3 linked regions of the Cricetulus griseus genome follow. The protein of the gene in region 3 interacts with the protein of the main gene of each other region in a pairwise test. Links are inferred from orthologs where the notes say so. Each region holds a gene or a part of one and is shown on either strand. Other genes may lie near its edges. The genes, in order: Batf, Batf3 and Junb.

What was found.
Region 1: the proteins of Junb (region 3) and Batf interact in binary tests that used the Homo sapiens proteins (3 or more experiments, as listed by UniProt). The link is inferred for Cricetulus griseus from reciprocal best matches to the Homo sapiens genes JUNB and BATF.
Region 2: the proteins of Junb (region 3) and Batf3 interact in binary tests that used the Homo sapiens proteins (3 or more experiments, as listed by UniProt). The link is inferred for Cricetulus griseus from reciprocal best matches to the Homo sapiens genes JUNB and BATF3.

What each region holds. Positions count from the first base shown.
Region 1 is NC_048598.1:118,099,399-118,103,682, forward strand, and holds the start of Batf (basic leucine zipper transcriptional factor ATF-like), read right to left. Parts: upstream 2,872-4,284; 5' UTR 2,617-2,871; coding exon 2,554-2,616; intron 273-2,553; coding exon 168-272; intron 1-167. UniProt on the Homo sapiens protein: AP-1 family transcription factor that controls the differentiation of lineage-specific cells in the immune system: specifically mediates the differentiation of T-helper 17 cells (Th17), follicular T-helper cells (TfH), CD8(+) dendritic cells and class-switch recombination (CSR) in B-cells.
Region 2 is NC_048598.1:3,915,730-3,918,933, forward strand, and holds the end of Batf3 (basic leucine zipper transcriptional factor ATF-like 3), read right to left. Parts: intron 995-3,204; coding exon 812-994; 3' UTR 599-811; downstream 1-598. UniProt on the Homo sapiens protein: AP-1 family transcription factor that controls the differentiation of CD8(+) thymic conventional dendritic cells in the immune system.
Region 3 is NC_048596.1:159,386,261-159,389,885, reverse strand, and holds Junb (transcription factor jun-B), read right to left. Parts: upstream 2,351-3,625; 5' UTR 2,052-2,350; coding exon 1,014-2,051; 3' UTR 514-1,013; downstream 1-513. UniProt on the Homo sapiens protein: Transcription factor involved in regulating gene activity following the primary growth factor response. Binds to the DNA sequence 5'-TGA[GC]TCA-3'.

The sequences.
Region 1 (4,284 bases), on a different chromosome or scaffold from region 3:
CCTTTCTTCCCCACCTCACCCCTGCAGGTCTTGCCCAGCACTTACTCTTTCTTCCCATGTACATAACTCCACCACAGCAGAACCATCACAGCTGGCTCTCACAGCCCCACTGACGTGGGGTGAAGAGCCTAAGGCACAAGAGCACCATAAGAAGTCTGGGTACTCACCAAGTGCAGGGTGTCGGCTTTCTGTGTCTGCCTCTGTCGACTCTTCTGGGCAGCAATGCGGTTCTTCTCCCTCCTCTGAACTTTTCTTACATCGTCGGATGAGTCCTAACAAGCAGTGAAAGCAAGAACTAGGTAGGTCCATCCCTTTCTTCCAGTCAAAATGGGTTCTATCGTTTAACTGACTCCTTCCTTCCTTCCTTCGTTCCTTCGTTCCTTCCTGGTCCTCAGTTCCTTCTGTACCAACCATACTCTTATTTACAAAAAGCCTGCACCCAAAGACATTTCCTTCAGCATTCCCTGCTACCGGCCCTCAGGTTGCCCATGGCCTTCTTTTCATCAAAAGCTACATGAAGAAATAGCTACATCAAGGCTTCAGGAGGGCTGCTTTGGGAAGCCTCAGATAAGACAATGATATCTGTCCCATCACCTCTGCTCTCTCCAGAGCTATTCTACCCCCACATTCTCTATCTGGGGTGTGTGTGTGTGTGTGTGTGTGTGTGTGCGCCTGCCTTCTTGGTGTTCCTTTTGCTGTTTTCTTTTTTTCTTGAAAACTTTGTTGAGCATCCATTATGTGCCAATGTCTGTACAAGTGCTTTCAGAGATACTATGCTACAATCCCCCAGCTCTCTGAGCAGGTACAGTCATATCTATTTTACGCAGGATGAAGCTGAGGCTTGCCACGCTGGTCCTTGAGCTCATGGCCATCCATGGATATGACATCTCCTGGTGCTGATTCTAAAGCCTGAATCCCCTCTCCACCAGCAATTTTCTTGTGCTGCACCCTTAGGCAGAGGGCCCCACCCCAGATCTCTCTTTCCTTCATCCCCTTTATTGTGCAGCCATCTTGAGACCTTTCTAGTCCAGACCTTTGATGCCTGCTACAATGAGGGGCCATAAATAAGTCTATGAGTTGAGGTGGAAGCCACCTGCTTTAGAGAGCTACTAATGTGGACTTTGGAAGACAAAGCATGCTTTGGATGTAAGTAAGTCCTAAAGAAGATCAGGGAGGTTCATTCTAGCTTTGCAGGTCAGTGAAGACACTAAGAGAAGCCCTTCAGCAACTCCTACCTTGTCAGAGAGGTCACAAATCCTGGGGCCAGGCTCTGACCCTCTTCCCTCTTTATCCAAAACTTCCAGATCATTCTAGCAGGCAGACATTTGGTGAAATAGAGCAAGGAAGCACCCTTCTCATAATGCTGCAGGGGACGAGTTTACCATGGAACTCTGAGTAATTTCCTTCTTAAGAAGAGTATGGTACCATCTTCCACACAGTCTGAGCCACTCCAATACCATTGTGACCAAGGGACTGACTATTTTCCTGTAGAGGTCTTCACCGGTACGGCTTTTTGGTTAGGAGCTTACAGTAGGTGTAATAGCAGATGATGGCCTATGACAGATGTGGTAAGGGGTGGCTGCATATTTCTATTTTGGCTGCAGCATTTTGCAAGCCCCTGGGATATGTGTAAGGAAAGCACTCTGCCCTTGAGCGATATGCCCTGCCCTATATGTGTGCTAAGGAGAGGATGAAGTTTTTAAGTTACTGAGATGTAGAAAAGCTTAATCCAGTGGGTCTATGCTGGATGAGGAAGAGAGTTTTCTAGAGCAAGGGTGTCAAGAATGTGGTAGAGAGAGCTCCAGAAATTTCAAGGTGGGAAGGGCATCCCATCTGAGGCATCTCTCCTGCGCTGAAGCATCTAGGTTTGGCAATCAAGGCTCTAAGACTCCCAGAATCCTTCCCTCCGTCCCCGGCTTCCCAAAGATGATGTTAGCTTCTAGTTCAGGTCTCCAACAAACCTCCAGAGCCACTGCCTTCTTTCTCCTCTCTGGAAGCCTCAGGGAAAGACGCTGGCTGTGACTTCAGCCTCCCTCCCCACTGACTGTTGTAGTCACAGAGGCCGTCCCTGGGCCGGTAGATTAGTTATCCTTTCCTTCCTCCCTACCTTGCTTTGGCTTACTGTATTTCTCTTCCCTAACCTCGGTTCTGTCTGGCCCCTTGGCTCTTCCTGGAAAGCTACAGATCTAGGATTTGGGTGGAGTCCGCCAGCAGCCTACTGACAGATTCCTCTGCTAGCGGTATGAACCCTTCCTCTAAGTTCTGTGATATTCACCCTGACCCTTTCTTCCTAGAAAGTTTCACAGTGGGAACCTAAGTGTGGCCGAGATGAGGCACACTGCTAGGAACAGAGGAAGGGGGCTTGTGGCGGGATGAAGGCTTTGCCACTTGTACCTCCGAATAGCAAATACCACATCCAGACTCTGCTAGAGAGCACCCCGCCAAGTAGAGAGCTACTTCCTCCCCCCCCCAAAAGCTCCCCAGGCAGAACTGGGGAGTGTGGCCCTCTTCCACCACCCCAGGGTATTTAGAAGGCAGGGGATGTAGGGGTACCTGCTTGCCAGGGGGAGGAGAGCGGCTGAAGCTGGAGTCGCTGCTGTCGGAGCTGTGCGGCATGGCTGTAATCTTCCGGACTCTCCCACAACCGCCCAGATGCCCCTGGGCGATCTTCTCACTAGCTGGCTCCTCTTCCTGACTGCTAGGGGGCCACCGGCCCGCCACCTTCCACGGGTGTCTCCCTTGCTTGCCCGGCAGCCACCTCCGACGGCCCCCTGTGTCCTCCTGTCTCTGGGGTGCAGAGGGACTGCTCCCCAAAGGGACATCTCGCTTACTTTGGGGCTTGCGCACACGCTCTCTCTTGTGGTTTCTGGTAATTCAAGCTGGAAGTCACATGGGCGGAAACGTCAACAAGTTAGAAGGTAGTTCGAGAGAAAATACATATCTGGGAAAAGACCACAGAATTAGGTGAAAGAAAAAAAATACACAAAACCCCAGTTTCTTCCGGCAGTTTGAAAGGCAGAGCAAGCTCTCTTCAATTGATGGAGATAAAAGAGAAAAACAGCCAGGCAGGGAAAATCCCCAGCCAGAATTAGCAAGTCCTCTTCTGTCAACATGGCAGAGAGCGGGGAACAGCGGGAGAGAGTTTCCACCGGCACACGACTTGAGTTTTAAACACAAATAAAGCAACAAGACCGGGACCTCTTTCTGGGTTTCACCCGAAAGCAGCTGCCCACCCTGTTTTGGGTTGAGCCTTCCTCAGTCACCCACAGGACAGTGCGGGTGTTCTGGGGACAAAGGAGAAGGAGGGCACTGTCTTTTACAGACTGCCAAACAAGAAGTTGGGACTCTCTGAGAGTCACAGAGAGGCTCTGGAATGTATACCGTGTACACCCTGTCCCTTGCTTCCTAGAAAGTTTCACGGTGGGAGCATAAGTGTGGCAGAGTTGAGGCATACTGCTAGGAACAGAGGAAGGGGGCTTGTGGAGTTTACCATCACCTGTGCCTCTCAGCAGGGCTCTGACATTCTCCCAAGAAAAGGGATGCCTTCGGTGGAGAGGTTGACCTTCAGGAGTTCAAGATTGACCTTGAATCTTTAGGAGTCAGTCACCAGGTCAGAACCCAGCAAGGAGTGAATGTCAAAATGGGTGAGGGAAGTTCTGGACTTGTATTCAGATCAACAGTGATGAAAACCTACCTCCACCCCCACCTAAAACCTGCCCTGCCTACCTCTCAGGGTTACTGCAATGAGTGAGGAACAATTTGAATTGTAATGCCCCCATACCCTGTAAAGCATGCTATGGAGATGCTCATGCTTGTCATATGTGCCATGACAAAGCATGTTTGTAGTTTTCCTGAAGAATCCCATTCTCATCTTTGGTGATCTAAAACAGGTTTGGGGAAGAGAGATGGCTCAGCAGTCAATAGCACTGGCTGCTCTCCCAGAGGACTTGTGTTTTTCTATTCCCAGCACCCACGTGGGGGCTCACAACCATCTGTAGCTTCAGTTTTGGGGCCTCCAACTCCCTCTTCTGGCCTCCTCATGTACTAGGAAATGCACAGGGTACACACACACACACACATACACACACACACACACACACACACACACACACACACACACACGTGCAGGCAAAACATTTATACACATGAAAATAAAATGTCTTGCTATGTTCCCAGTGTGGCTCAAAGCCAAATGCTCCCTTTGCTTAATCTGAGGACTGACAGTATGTATGGTCCCAAAAGCATTTCAGGTTCCACTGATAAAATTCTGCCTGGTGACAATGT
Region 2 (3,204 bases), on a different chromosome or scaffold from region 3:
ACAGACATGCACTCAGGCACATGCATAAAATAAAAATAATTATTTTATTGAAAAGAAGGAAAGAAACGAAAAACAAAAACAATGCCACCAGTGGGGAGTAATCCCAGTACTTAAAACTCTACAGCAGGGGAATTTCTGTGACTTCCAAGACAGCCTGGGCTACAGAGTAAGATCTTGTCTCAAAAAAATAAAATAAAATAAAATAAAAACAATAACAAAATCTGTGGCTGAAATGAGGTGAGGGGGGTCAGATAGAAGGCTGGGTAACACATGAGACAGGTGTGAGTCACAGCCAGCTCACCCACTAGGACCAAACTGGGTCAGAGACTTATTGGAAGCCTCGGTGGCAAAGGAAATGCCACTGCCTTGCCCTCTGCTACAGCCAAGGGTACTTCCCCATCTGCTATGGACATGGGGAGATGAAACGGAGGGGGACCTACTGCAGTGGCATGACCTTCCCAGAGGAGGGACGCTATGTGCTCTCCATCAGAAGAAGTTGGACAAAGAAAACTCGGTAACTATCTTTATTATCCAAATTCCAGACAGAAGATCCTGCCTCGGGGCAGGACCGGCTAGCTGCCAAGGTGAACGAGGAGTGACTCCTGCAGGTAGCTCTTGTGGGCCGCCTTCTGGATCCACCACTCTAGGGTTTGAGGACAGGTGCCCCCAGAGTGCATGATGAGCCCAGGCTGGCCCCAGAGCTCCTAGGAGGGGCACAGCCACAGGAACTCCTGGACACAGGTGTACAGGGAAACTCTTGGGTGTGCAAACCCAGGTTCTAAGCTGTATGAAAAAGGAGCGAGCTGTGGTGTCATCGGGGCAGACAGCCGGCCACAGGGTCTGGCCGAACCTGCACAAAGTTCATAGGGTACAGAAGCAGGGGGCACAACTTCTCATGTTCCTTGAGAGCCTCACTCAGGTGCCTCAGCTCCTCCTTCAGCTTTGAAATCTCCCTGCGCAGCACGGCATTCTCCTGCTCCAGGCACTCGTACTCCTGTCCAAGAGAGAGGAGAGGTAGAGACGGGCGGCGTGGAGGTGCATGACAGCGGTCCCGGCACTCGGGAGGTAGAGGCAGGAGGGTCAAAGAATTCAAGGCCAGCCTGGGCTACAGAACTCTTCCCTTTTGTTTTATTTTGAGACAGGGTCTCACTATGTATCCCAGGCTAGCCTGGTGCTCACTGTGTGTCTCAGGCAAGCCTGGTGCTCACCATGTATCCCAGGCTAGCCTGGTGCTCACTGTGTGTCTCAGGCAAGGTGCTCACCATGTATCCCAGGCTAGCCTGGTGCTCACTGTGTGTCTCAGATTAGTTTCAAGCTTGTCGTGTTCCTGTCCACTTCCTATGTACTAGGGTTTCAGATGTGCACCATGGTGTTTGGTCACCTTGGTGTTTACTGGCTTCAGAGCTCTGTCTCCCCAAAGGAATAAAATGGTCCTAACAGTACAGCTTTCCTTTTGAATCAATACTACTGGGGTATCATGAAACGTGTCTTATGAAGTGTCTGTAATTCAGGGAGTGGTGACAAACGTGTATGTACACCTGTGTTGATATACAAAGCATCAGCTTGCACCTCCATCGCTCCAAAGTGGTCCCTCCTACCATTTACACCAGCTCTCATCCCCAATACTGACCTGCTTTTTGAAGATCTCTGGTGGGTTCATGGCCACCCCAATACCAAGAGCAGTACCTGGAACAGTATGCCTTGGCTGCACTGATAAATGCATGGATGCAAGCCTTTGGCTGCACTGATAAATGCATGGATGCAAGCCTTTGGCTGCACTGATAAATGCATGGATGCAAGCCTTTGGCTGCACTGATAAATGCATGGATGCAAGCCTTTGGCTGCACTGATAAATGCATGGATGCAAGCCTTTGGCTGCACTGATAAATGCATGGATGCAAGCCTTTGGCTGCACTGATAGATGCATGGATGCATGCTGTCCCTTCCAGTACTCTTCTGCTGTGTCTACTGCATCAGGGTGAAGAGGCTCAGAACTGGAGGGGATCAAGAACTCTTGTCATCTCCCCCAAACTGTGGAGGAACTTCTCATATGCAGAGCTAGCTCACACATCCATCTTGGGCTGGGCACCCTTCCTTCAAGGGACAGTCCCTGCCATTTCTGTGATACTCTACTCTCTTTGTAGTGATCGAAAACTCCTCCACACCCACCCATTGAGCTGGGCTCAACCCAATGGAGCCACACAGGATGAACTCAGTACTTTGCAACCTCAGCTCTTGAAATGATGGGCGACACACTCATCCCTCCCCCTTGGATGCTCTCTGAGCCTAAATGTCTCGAGTCCTCTGAGTTTCTTGTGAAGGACTGCTGGCCCCTCTGCCCTTGTAGCCACCACCCCTGGCACACACTCCAAGTTGCCGGCTCGCTGAGATGTTACTCTCGGAATGCCGTCCTCCTTCATGCTGGACCTAAGCCACAGGAGGCGTCCCCGAGTGTGCAGAAAGCTAAGCTCCAAGTGCAGGAGCTGCTGTCCCCACTCAAGTGACAATTAGAGCCTGGAGACAGGGCTTCCTGCAACCACTGAATCCCACTGTGTTCATTTGAATCTCCTCCACGGAGTCAGCTCATGGATACTTGCTGTCACACAACCTCATGGCTTCCGGGAACTTGGTTAGTCCTTTGCCCTCTTAATCCAGGCCATAGTCCACAGCTCATCACCAGCCTCTCCAGGCTGGGGTGTCTTTCAGTCTTGCTGAGCGGTCACCTCCACTCATGCCTAGCCTGACTTGTTTGGTTAGACTGTGACCCAAGCGTACCGGGCACTTCTCAAATACTAATCATTTCTAATAAACATCAGCTAAGAAGTCTGGCCTTAGAGCCCCCGAGACACGCATGCATCCTCAGCTTAGCCTGTGCAGCTCCCCTCAACCCCATTGCTTTCCTTTTCTCTGTGAGCTTAGCATGAGATCACCACCTCCAGGAAGGCTTCCCTGGGATCACAGCACATACAGGTCTCACATTTCTCATTCTGAGTTCTCTACACAGACGTACACTGTTGGATCCCACTTATAGTAAGTAATGTCTCTCCCTAAAAGTCAGAGATGCCGAGCCCCAGGAACTTCTGCCACCCTCTTCTGGACTAGCTCGAGTGGTCCAACCTGTGTGCTAACAACCACTCAGCCTGTTGTCTGTTTTCTTCCCATCTCTAGAAACCTCCCTTTCGGGGCCCCAAGAGGGACTGCAGG
Region 3 (3,625 bases):
CGGCGCCAGCCTGTTGAGAGACGCTCGGGTGGCTCCCAGGGCCCAGGAGAGCGTAAGTCTCCCGCCGCGGGCACCCTGGACCCAGGCCTGGGGCTTTCCGCGCCCCGAGAGCCGCCCGCCCGGGAAAATCCCGGCCCCTTCCCGGCGCCGCGGCCCTGCCGGGCAGAGCTGGGGGAGGGGATTCCCGGAATCTGCCCGGAGACCGTGCTGGCGTCACTGAGCAGAATAGGCCCATATATGGGCATCGCTTCCGGCGCGTCAGCGGGGAAAGCCCCGACGCGCTGGGCTGGGCGGGGCTGCTTACACATTCCGCGTTTGGTCCCGGGCGGCTTCTTCCCGGCTGTGGCCCGCCTGCCCCGCGTCGGGTGCCGGGGCGCGGCGTGAGAGGTCTGCGTGCTTGCACTGGACCTTAAGTCACCTGAAAGGAGGGAGCTACGAAAGCGGACGACTGGGGGCATCCCGTTCTTCTCCCTCCACCCGCCCGGCTTGGAAGAAAAAAAAAGACCACAGAAATTAATAAAGACAATTTTTTTTACTTAAATAGATTCAATAAAAAGTCAAACACACACACACACACAAACACATCTTAAAATAGACTCTAGACACGAAGTGCGTGTTTCTTCTCCACAGTCCTGTGCAGAGGGGGAGGGCAGGGGGCGGAGGTCCCTCCCTAGTGTCCCGGCAGGCTGAGTACCAGGCGGCGGGGCCAGCTCCGCCGCGATAGCGTAGCCCCCTTCTCCCTCCCTGTTAAATACACAAATATATTATATTCAATATGAATCCGGTCTCTTCCCAGAAAAAAAAAAAAAACATACAAAATACGCTGGAAGGGGGGGCCATGTAAACGTCGAGGTGGAAGGACTGGGCGCAGGCGAGCGAGCCAGAGTCCAGTGTGTGCGCGGCGCTCCAGACCTCCGGGCCGGTGCCCATCGCCCGCCCCCCTCACCCCAGGGGGGGGCGGGCGTCCAGCCTTCCCGGCCGGGGTGTCCGTGCGGGGCGAGCGAGGGAGGCGCTCAGAAGGCGTGTCCTTTGACCCCCAGCAGCAGCTGGCAGCCGTTGCTGACGTGGGTCATGACCTTCTGCTTGAGCTGGGCCACTTGCTCCCGGAGAAGGCCGGCAGTACTCGACAGCCCCGCATTCTCAGCCTTGAGCGTCTTCACCTTGTCCTCCAGGCGCGCGATGCGCTCCAGCTTCCGCTTCCGGCATTTGGTGGCCGCCAGCCTGTTCCGCAGCCGCTTTCGCTCCACTTTGATGCGCTCCTGGTCTTCCATGTTGATAGGGGACACCGGCGGGGTGGCGTCGCGGCTGCGTGCCTCTGGTACGGTCTGCGGTTCCTCCTTAAAGGCGGAGGCGCCGCGACCCAAGCCCAGCTGTGCCGGGTGGCCGCCCGCAAAGGGTGGTGCGTGTGGGAGGTAGCTGATGGTGGCCGTCGGGTACGAGCTCCCAGTCCCGACGGCGGCCCCGGCGCCCCCAGAGGGTGCGGAGGCTGGGGAGTAACTGCTGAGGTTGGTATAGACGGGGGGCGGCTCTGGACCTGCGTAGACGCCCCCTGGCCCGGCCTGGGGACCCCCGCTGGCGCCCAGGGACACGTTGGGGGGCGTCACGTGGTTCATCTTGTGCAGGTCGTCCAGGGCTTTGACAAAGCCGTCCGCGAAGCCCTCCTGCTCCTCGGTGACGCCGCCCCCTGTGCCTCCACTGCTGCCACCCCCACGGGGGTAAAAGTACTGTCCCGGAGGCGTGGGCGTCGTCGTGATCACGCCGTTGCTGTTGGGGACGATCAAACGCTCCAGTTCCGTGGAGGCGAGCTTCAGAGACGCGCCTGTGTCTGATCCCTGACCCGAAAAGTAGCTGCCTGCTGCCCCGCTGCCCTCTGGGCCCGGGCCGCGCGCTCCCGGGCCCTTGAGACCCCGGTAGGGATCCGTCAGGTTGAGTGCCAAGGTGGGTTTCAGGAGTTTGTAGTCGTGGAGAGACAGGCTGCCAGGGGTCCGACCGTATCCCGCCGCTGCGTATGAGTCGTCGTGATAGAAAGGCTGTTCCATTTTCGTGCACATCCGGGCGGTCTGGGAAAGGTCCCCCTGAAGGGCCGCCCCAGGCCTCGCTGCTGCGAGCGGCGAGCTGTCCTCGGCTGCGGCGGGACCCGGTGTCCGGTCGCGCGTCCTCGGGAACTGGAGACCGCCGGCGGCGGCCGGTTGGCAGCTGTGCGTAAAAGCGTTGCCGGGCTTCCAGACCTCGTCTCTGCCTCTGTGGTGCGCCCGCTTTCTCGGCGTCGCTTCCTTCAGTTCCCCGCTGCCTGCAGGATCCAAAACCGGCCCGGCCACCCTCAAGGTCCCCACCGCGCTGCCCCAGCCCCAAGCTTTTATACCGAGTTTGTCAGCTGCGGAAGTGCGCTCTGATTGGCCAACGCGGGAACCGGGCCCCCGCGGCCCCCTCCTAGAGCGTGGGGAAGGGGAGGAGGCGGCTCGCGTCACTGTCAGGAAGCGCGTGTCCTTGTAAACAGCGGCCACGAGCCGGGTGGCTCTGCGCGGCTGCAGGGGGAGGGGCTGCAGCGATGGAGACGCCGAAGCAAAGGGATGTGGAGGGGCTGAGGCACACGGGTTAGGACTGCGGGAGTACACCTCGGTGACTATGAGAGCTTGGCACAGCAAGCAGGGAAGGGGGCGCCGCGGGATAAGCCGGAGAAGTCTCGAGAGACCCAGAGTGCCTGTAGCTGAGAACTGACAATATGCTAGAAGACCCCAAGCAAGCAGGAAAGGGAGGATCGGGAGGGATCTGTTAACATTTGACCCGGGGATTGACTGGAGGTCCCAGATACAAAGGGCTTGAAAGACTGGAATTGTCACAGGTTGGAGGAAGGGGCGCCTGTTGTGCAAGAACAGTAGGGTTCTAGAGGCCGTTGATGAGTCTGAGGGTTCTCCTATAGGCGGAAATGAGAAGGAAATGCGGGGAGGGCGACGTAGATATGCAAAGGTGAGAAAGGGTCCTGGGTGCACTGAGGTAATACAAGAGGTGGAGGATGGGAACATGTCACTGTGGCCACCTGAAGAATTCGGATGTAGAGTTAGAAAGGTCAGGGCACAGCTTCCGAGCTTTGAGATCTGCTGGGGAGGATGATCCCAGAGACAAGGGACCTGTACGAATGGGGCTGTACCTCGTGGGTGGTCCTTAGGCACCTGCATACCCTGTACTCCAAGCCCAAAGTCCTCCCTTAGTCACTCTGGGCTCACCCGATACCCTGTCAGCTCTTGGAGAGCCGACGGGGCAGGATAGCTGGGGCGCGGTCGCCCAACCTCACTCCCTTCCTTAGAAACAGACTAGGGAAAGAGAGCCGAGGCAGGAAGTGTGGCAACAGCCCCGAGGGGAAAAGAGCCCGGCCCTGTCTCGTCATTCTGAGCCTACAGGACGGTGCACCCTGCCCTGGGCCCTGCCAAATTCTGCTCCTGGGAAGAGGAACCGGGGCAAGCGACCCCCGAGGAAGTCACAGCCCAGCTACAAACGCCTCGAGTCACTCTCTGCTCTCACCCATCTAGTAATGGTTCAGCCTGCAGCCTCCGACGACTACTAAGCCTGGCAGCCCGAGGACTGTTCCATTGACCCTGGGGGGGGGAGATGCAGCCTGAGAACCGGG